Coturnix japonica: one gene and its partner. The protein of the gene in region 1 purifies or fractionates together with the protein of each later gene. This does not show direct contact. Links are inferred from orthologs where the notes say so. Each region holds a gene or a part of one and is shown in the gene's direction. Other genes may lie near its edges.

Region 1 (3,511 bases):
AACATGCGTGATTTCAACTTCTCGATCACAATTAACTTTTACTCTTGATGTATGTACTGACAGCTCCTAAAAGCTAATGGAAAGCCATTTCTATGTAATTTAATGTCTGATTATTGGAGCGTTTAAGTTCCCTGACAGTGCTTTACTTTGCAAAGGGAAAATTTAGTGGAAAAATGAATCAGCTTTTCTACATGAAATGAACTCAATCTGATAACCAGGCCTACAGTTTACTAATATTAACTCATGATGTAAAAAAAAGGGTTTCACCTGAAAGTAATTTTATGAATTACTCTTCAGTATGTGCTAAGATCTAAGTATAAAAGATAAATGAATAAATTTGGGCCTTTTTTAAGAGACAAGGAATTGATGCAATAAACAAGATCTCTGAGCAAGATAATTTTCTACATTGTACTTGGAATTGATTGAAAATTCCATATGAATCTTTTTTTTCCAATCAACAACAACAACAAAAAAGAAGTTTTATTTTAAATCAATAGTTTCTATATGAAAATATTGACTACAGCATATTTGATGTCAGGTCATGTCAAAACATTGCATTTCAGTTTGTCAAACTCTAACATTTCATTTCAAGTTGAGTTAACATGAACTTTGATCTGGCTCAGTCTTGGTGTTGCTTCCCAGGTCAGCTCCCTCCCATGAGCTATGAGCCAGTAGCCAAACCAAACTTTCTGAAATGCACAAAGGGTCATCTTTGCTACTGTATGTTCTCTTCAGATGAACTGTGGTAGCCCAAGAGGATGCTGAGTTTTATGGTAGCTTTAAAAACTTGCTTTTTTTACTTATTCAATTTTTTAGTGCTTTTTACGGCTGCCGAATCATCTGTTTGGAACTGTTTTGTGTTGTGAAAGTTTTTGTGCCCGATATTTCAATTTTTGATTCTAAGGCAGATTGAAAGAAATACAGAAAGTAATCAAACCTTCCTCTAGAAGGAAATTCAATTTGCACTTCCATGCATGCTTTCTCTGATTAATCTGATTCTGTTGTTATTTACACAGTTCTCATGCTTTCTATTACTCCCTAGGCTCAGAAGAAGATGAAGAAGCTTATTCTGCTTTTCTCACTGTTCCTGGCTCCGGCATTCTCTTATAAAGAAAATCAGAAAACAAAACAAAACTTTTCTTCAAACAATACCAGTCATAAACGACTTAAGAGAGACTGGATATGGAACCGAATGCATATCAGGGAAGAGATTGATTCACCATTACCCCATCATGTTGGCAAGGTAAACAGCAGCCTCTTAGCAGAGAATGACTGGAAATGCAGAGAACAAATGAGTGTCCTGAGAAGTATTACTTCTTTGCAGCCTAGCTGAATTAACGGGGAATAAACGGCAAATAGAAATGGGACTGATGTAGTAACATTACAATCCTAAAATGAGGGCAGAGTGAATCAAGAGCAGCATCAAAGGAATTATAATTCTTCTAAAGAATACAGATAAATTTTAGAGAATGGCAAGCATGGAGCATCTGCAGTGAAGAAACAACTGCACTGCATGCAGGTGCAGAGTAAGGAAGAAGGTCTGGCAGCTGATGAATATCAGTGTTTTTCTGGTTGCTCTTTCAAAAACCTGGGAGATCAGCTAATAAAAACATACGTATTAAAGACCACATAGCTTACATCCCTCAGCACAGGCACAAAAATAAAGTGCACTTTAGGAGTACTGTTACACAATCAAAAATTTGTTTCACAAAGTGAAGGAAAACAGTTTTTGAAAGTAATAACAAGCATTGACCTGACCACAAACTCATTTTCTTCAGGGCAATGCTCATAAAATCCTGTGATTAACTGCACATCACCCAGATAAAGTTCTCCCAGTCTAGTCTTTCAAATTGAACTACTTTGACACTTCTCGGATAAATGCAGTTCTACATTTTCCTTCCATGTGCAACAATCAGTGTCTGTCAAGGCTGTTATGGTAAAGTGAAACAGACCTTTCTGGATCAGTGCTGCTCATTGGCAGAAAGCACGAGAGAGAGAAAAGAGGCCACCGGGTACTCAGCTACCACAGGATATCTCTGTTTCATTTCAGACCAATTCAGCAGCAGATTGAGAGAGTTTTTATTCCTGGTGCTGTCCTAAATAAGAGTAATTCACTTTGTACTGTGCTCTGTGGTCTTTCAAAAGCGGAATGTGTCTGATTACTTTTGCAGTGACTGTGTACAGTGCATTGCATTTGCAGGATTGAACACTTGATAAATCCTTTTAAAAGGCCACAGCATCAGCATGGCCAAACCGAGCGACAGATGCAGGAATATGCTGATACATCTGGATTTTATCTTTGATGACCTTGGAGGCTTCAATTTGCATGTCCATCCTTAGATTTAGCAAAGGCAACCTTGGAAGCTGTACCTTTCATACCAAATAAGTAAATAGAAATTAAGAAAGAAGACAAAGGCTGTACTATCTTTGAGACAAGGGTGAGATTCTTTCTCCTGTTACAACTCCAGAGTCACGAGCTGTTGTTCAGCAGCACCAGCAGTTAGAAGCATGATTAAATGTGTGGAATGAGGAAAGAGAATTTTAATAGCACATTTCAAAATAAAAAACATAAATGAAAGAATGTTCAACAGTAAATGACAACTACGGGATAAATCAAATCCTGAATACCAAACAGCTGCAATTTATGATAATGTCAGTAACAAAAGACTAGAAAATCTTTGTCAAACCCAACAATTATTGATAAATAGCTTGCTGAAACAAGAATGCTGATATAGTGCACAGAAAATTGTGTTCTAAACTTTATAGCAGCGTTCTTAGAGGAGCGTAGATAGGAAAGAATCATCAGATTATGTCCAGATTAAAAGAAATAATAATGTACAAAACCACCTGGGACTGGATTAAATTACACATAAAAACAGACTCATTTTACCTTTCACCCCACCCTTTTTCATACAATACAATCTTAAATTTGAAACTCTGTGGAGTGAAAACTTAATTTCACTGCCATAACCATAAAGACCAACTATGAAGAAATGACACATGACTAAACACAAGAAAGCTGTCAGCCATGGCAGGAATTCTGCTAAATGGCAAACAATGGAGAAAAATGCTAAATAATGTTTGTCAGTAGCTGTGAATAAGGATTTGTTTCTGTCATTCTGTGAAATCCAAGCAAAATTCCACTTAGAATTCTGCTACATTCCAAAGATAATTTGCCAACAAGTGTAGCTCCATGTAGTGGTACCTACATTTCTGACACAATGAGGCTGACAGTTTTTATCTGTAACTGCATGAACAATTTATATCTTTAGGAAATATAAGGCATAACCTTAAAATAAAACATTCCTGATATATAAGCAAACAGGTTTCAGTCTGGATGCACGTTTTATCCTATTCTGCATTGCTGGTTTGTCCAGTAATATGCCAGCTGTCATCAAAATTCCCAATGGTTTCAAACTGAGTCTGAATAAGAGGTCATGTTTATGTGTATCTTCTGGTAGAAACTGTTTTATATTCCAAAGCCACAGCTCACTTTTATCTCTTTGAAATA
Region 2 (4,139 bases), on another chromosome or scaffold:
CCCATCTACAGGGACATGCTGCCATAATTCCCATCCGAGGAGCAGCCGCACCACTGTGCCACCACCTGCCTGGTGCCCCCTGAGCCCCCCCAGCCCCGATGTCCCTGGGAGCCCCATAGTAGCGCTCCATAGCAGCACTGAGATTTGCTGTGCCCCTTCATTGCTCCCCCAGGAGCCACTGACCAGGGGGCCAACAGCAAACCCCTGTGCTGCCTTATGGGTTCTGTGCACGGTGCTGGTTCTGGCAGCAGCCCACCCCCACCGGCAGCTCCCAGAGCCGCCCCTTCCCCCCGTCTCGGTGCTGGGTGCTGCTCCTGGTGCACGGCATCCCTGTGCCACTGTACCCCGTCACCACCTCTGCCCCACAAGTGCCTTCATCTCTCTCCCAGCAGCCCCCAGAGCTTTAAGCTCCATTAATTTAATACTTCCCATCTCGCTTTTATATTTTTCGCTCGTTTATTTTGTATTTTAAACGTTCTGGTGCTGAACTTGGAATAAAACTCGGTCCGCTCTTTTGACGGCCGCCTCTGCCCGGAGCAAATCGGGACGGACACAAGTGCCATGAAAGACCATCTGGGGGGGGGTCGGTCGGGTCGGGACCCCCAGGCCGGGCGGTGGGTGCTGGGCGGCCGCTGGTGCAGCCACGGCGCTGCTTTGTGCCTGGCGGCCGTCGAGCTGTTGGCAGCACGAGGCTCCGCCGGGACTTGGCTGCGGTGACTGAAACCGAGAGGCTGAATCACGGCGTGAGCCGCGGGCGAGGGAAGGGACGGGATGGGGCGGGACGGGACGGGATGGGACGGGATGGGGTGGGATATTATGGGATGGGATGGGATGGGATGGGATACAATTGGATGTAATGGGATGGGGACAGAATAGGATATAGAATGGGATGGGGAGGGGTGGGATGGGATGGGATATTATGGGATATTATGGGATATTATGGGATGGGGTGGGATGGGCGCTGCCGCTCCCCGCCCTGCTCCAGCTGCGTGTCTCCCCCGCTCCGACCCGCAGTGCCGCCCCCCGCCCCCCCTCCATTTACCCCCCTCCATTTTCCCCCCCTCCATTTTCCCCCCGTTGTCCCGACCCGGTTCGGTCCCGTTCGAACCCTCCCGGCTCCGCCCCGTGACGTCACCCAGGTGGGCCCTCGGTGCGCTCACGCCCTTCCCCACCCGCCCTCGCCCCGCCCCCGCCCCGCCCCGCCGCCCAATCAGCTCCCGGCGCGCGGGGGGCGGTCTCCTCCCCGCCAATGGCGAGCGGATAAACACGGGGAGGGGGCGGGGCCCGGTCAGCAGCGGCGAAGACGGACGGGAAGAAGAACCAATGGCAAGCGGGCAGCGCTGTGAGGGGCGGGGCCAGGCGGGGCGGGGCGCCGTTCGCCTTTTGTTCGTGCGGGAGCGGGGCGGGCGGCAGAGCTGCGGGAACCGGGAGAGGTGAGAGACGGGGGGGGCGGGCGGGGGGCGAGGGGGGGGGGCCTGGGCTGGGGGGTCCCGGCATCGAGGGGCTCCGGGCTCCGCGCGGTGTCGGGCTGTTACCGCCCCCCCCCCCCGGGGCAGCGCCGCGCCCGGCTGCGCTCATCCCGTCCGACCGGTCCCGAGCAGCCCCGGGGCTGCGCTCACCGCCGGGCTCGGTTCGGTTCGGCCCAACCGGCCCCGTGCGGTTCCGGTGCTGCCGCTGGGCGCTGCCCCGGGTGGTTGTTCCGGCGGAGCCGCTCACCTGCCCCGAGCAGCCCCGGGGAGCGGGACGGGCTGCGGGAGGGGAACGGGGACGGGGGGGTTAATGAAGCGGCTCCTGTTCATCCCGCCGCGCTGACACCGAACGTCGGGGCAGCGGAACTGAGCGGGGAGCGACCGGCTCGTATCGTCGTCACGTTCTCGTTGCGTTCGCTGGGTGATTAGTTTAATTAATCGGCGCAGATTAAAGCACGACGCGGGGCCGCTGCTGGGAGTTGCCCGCGGAGGAAGGCGTGGGTTGTGCGCGGGGGGACGCGGTGGGAGCGTGGGCGGCTCCCGGGGCGCAGCCCGGGCCGGGACGGAGCCGTGCTGACCTCAGCGCTGTCCCCGCGTCCTGCCGTGCCCTCCCCGGTGCTGGTATCCCCGGGCCCCCCCTGTCCCCGCTCCGGGGCTGTCCCTGCTCCGTCCCTTCTCTGTCCCTGCTCCGTCCCCTTCCCACCCGCAGTTTGGTCCGTCGGTGGGGGGCGCGGATCCCCTCCCGTGTCCTTGTGGGCGTGCGGCGGGGCAGTGTGCGGAGCGGAGCAGCCATTAAGGTCCTTCCACCTCCGAAGGCCGTAATTGTTCACCGCTTTGGAGGATTTCCACAAAGTGGTTTGAAAAACCCATTTGGCAGCGAACTCGGCTTTAACAGGTGGGCACAGGACGCGCCTGCGCAAAGCCCGGGTGGCGGTGGCCGGGGGTCGTTTTATCCCCGGTTCTGGTGCCGCTCGCTGGGCGATGAGGAGCTGCTGGGGGGGGCTGAGCTGCAGCTGCCCGACTCCGGCGGTGGGGAAGCGCTGGCGGAAGCGTGGGGGGGGCTGCAGGCCGCCCCAACCCCCCCCGCCCCCACAAACAATGGCTCCCATTCCATTGTCTGGTGCTGCAGCCACTCCCCTGGGGACAGCGGGGATGCCGGCATGAAGCACCTCGTGCCCCGTCCACATGTGGGTCCCCGTGGGCTGTGCCGTTGGCACCACTGCCCGTGGTTTGTTCACACCTGGAGACCACGGAGCGTTTCGCCTCTGAGCTGTACATGAAGGTCGGGTGCTGCCCTCCTCCTCCTGGGAATCCTTCCTTGTTCCCCCATCAGACCCCCAGCCGGTTGGGGGGTGCAGTTGGCAGCCCGCAGGGAGGAGCTGCGCTGTGGGGCTGCAGTACAGGGTCTGCATGGGGAGCTCACAGGGCTCTAATTGAGGTGTCTGTACCACAGCTCATGCTGCTCCTGAAATTTGAAATTAGGCTGGCTTCTAATTAGCAGGAGTTAAAAAGAAGTTTCATTTCTATTGAAGCACTGCAAGTCTGCCTTGGACTTCTTGTGGCACAGTTGCCAGCTCTGACTCTTGTTTTAGGTGGTGTTTTCCCACCTCGGTGCTTTAGGGCTGTGCCTGGGATAGGCAGCAAATGGGGTCTGGGTGGCAGCTGTGGGTCCCAGTTGGTCTCCTGGGACCTGGGGTGTCCCCCACGGGGCTGTGCCCTGCTGGCAGCGCCTGGCTCGCAGTCAGCCCTGGAGGATGCAGCACTTGAGCTGATGCAGCATTTCCAGCTCCACCAGGGTTGGGTTTACCCCGTTTCCCAGGGACAGGGTTGGGTGTTTGGGGATGGAGCAGGCACGCTGTCTGTGCATGGGAGAGGCTGCCAAAGAAGTCTTAAAACTTGACCTAAGCAGCTTAAAAACACATCTGTGCTTACAGTGCTGCTGGCCAGAGCTGAGCTGCAGAGTGCTCCAAAGCTGCATCCTGTGCTGCCAGCTCAAGGACGGCCCAGCACAGCCCTGGATGCCACGCTTGGCGTGTTGCTGCCTGCTCTGCTCAGTGCTCCCGAGGCCCACATGCTGCAGGGGTGGTGCAGTGCACCCAAAGCTTTGGGGTCCAGTGGTGGGGGGGGCAATGCTGTGTGTGCTTCATCACCCCCTCCTCCCCCCGCTCCCCTCCATGCTACATCAGTCCTTCAGTGCATCCTGGGGTTTGTCCTTACTGTGTGCTCACTCTGTGCTGGCTTTGGGCTCAGGAGCCTCCTGGGCCAGTGCATCCTCCTGCCTCCATGGGGTGAGAGCTGTCTATGCTCCCCCCTTGTGTGCAGTGCACTGTGCTTTGTAAGGGTGGTGAGGGGAATACAGGAGGAGTGAGGGGCAAGATGTTTCTAATTAGACAGGCTTGAGATATCTCTCCAAATCTGCCATCCCCGATTGGTTTTTCTGCAGCTGCTGACAGGCCTGGAGGCATTTCATAATGCTTGAATTGCTCGGATCTAAAATCCCTCCATGCAAAGGGCAGGAGCCTTGTGCTGGAGCGGAGCTCCTGGTGGCTCGGGGCGCTGAGCTGTGCTGGGGCTGCCATGGGATGCTCAGTGCTCTCTGAATATCCCACACCTGCTGACCTGACCCATTCCCCCAGTGCTGCGGAGATGCACAGGGGGGGTCGTGCAGCA

What was found. Proteins that work in one complex are often made in the same cells at the same time.
Region 2: the proteins of CDH5 (region 1) and JUP purify together in Homo sapiens (affinity purification with western blotting; 3 studies listed by BioGRID and IntAct, with this or other methods). This does not show direct contact. The link is inferred for Coturnix japonica from reciprocal best matches to the Homo sapiens genes CDH5 and JUP.

Annotation. Positions count from the first base shown.
Region 1 is NC_029526.1:10,025,955-10,029,465, reverse strand, and holds part of CDH5 (cadherin-5), read left to right. Parts: intron 1-1,042; coding exon 1,043-1,243; intron 1,244-3,511. UniProt on the Homo sapiens protein: Cadherins are calcium-dependent cell adhesion proteins. They preferentially interact with themselves in a homophilic manner in connecting cells; cadherins may thus contribute to the sorting of heterogeneous cell types.
Region 2 is NC_029542.1:4,305,554-4,309,692, reverse strand, and holds the start of JUP (junction plakoglobin), read left to right. Parts: upstream 1-1,335; 5' UTR 1,336-1,433; intron 1,434-4,139. UniProt on the Homo sapiens protein: Common junctional plaque protein. The membrane-associated plaques are architectural elements in an important strategic position to influence the arrangement and function of both the cytoskeleton and the cells within the tissue.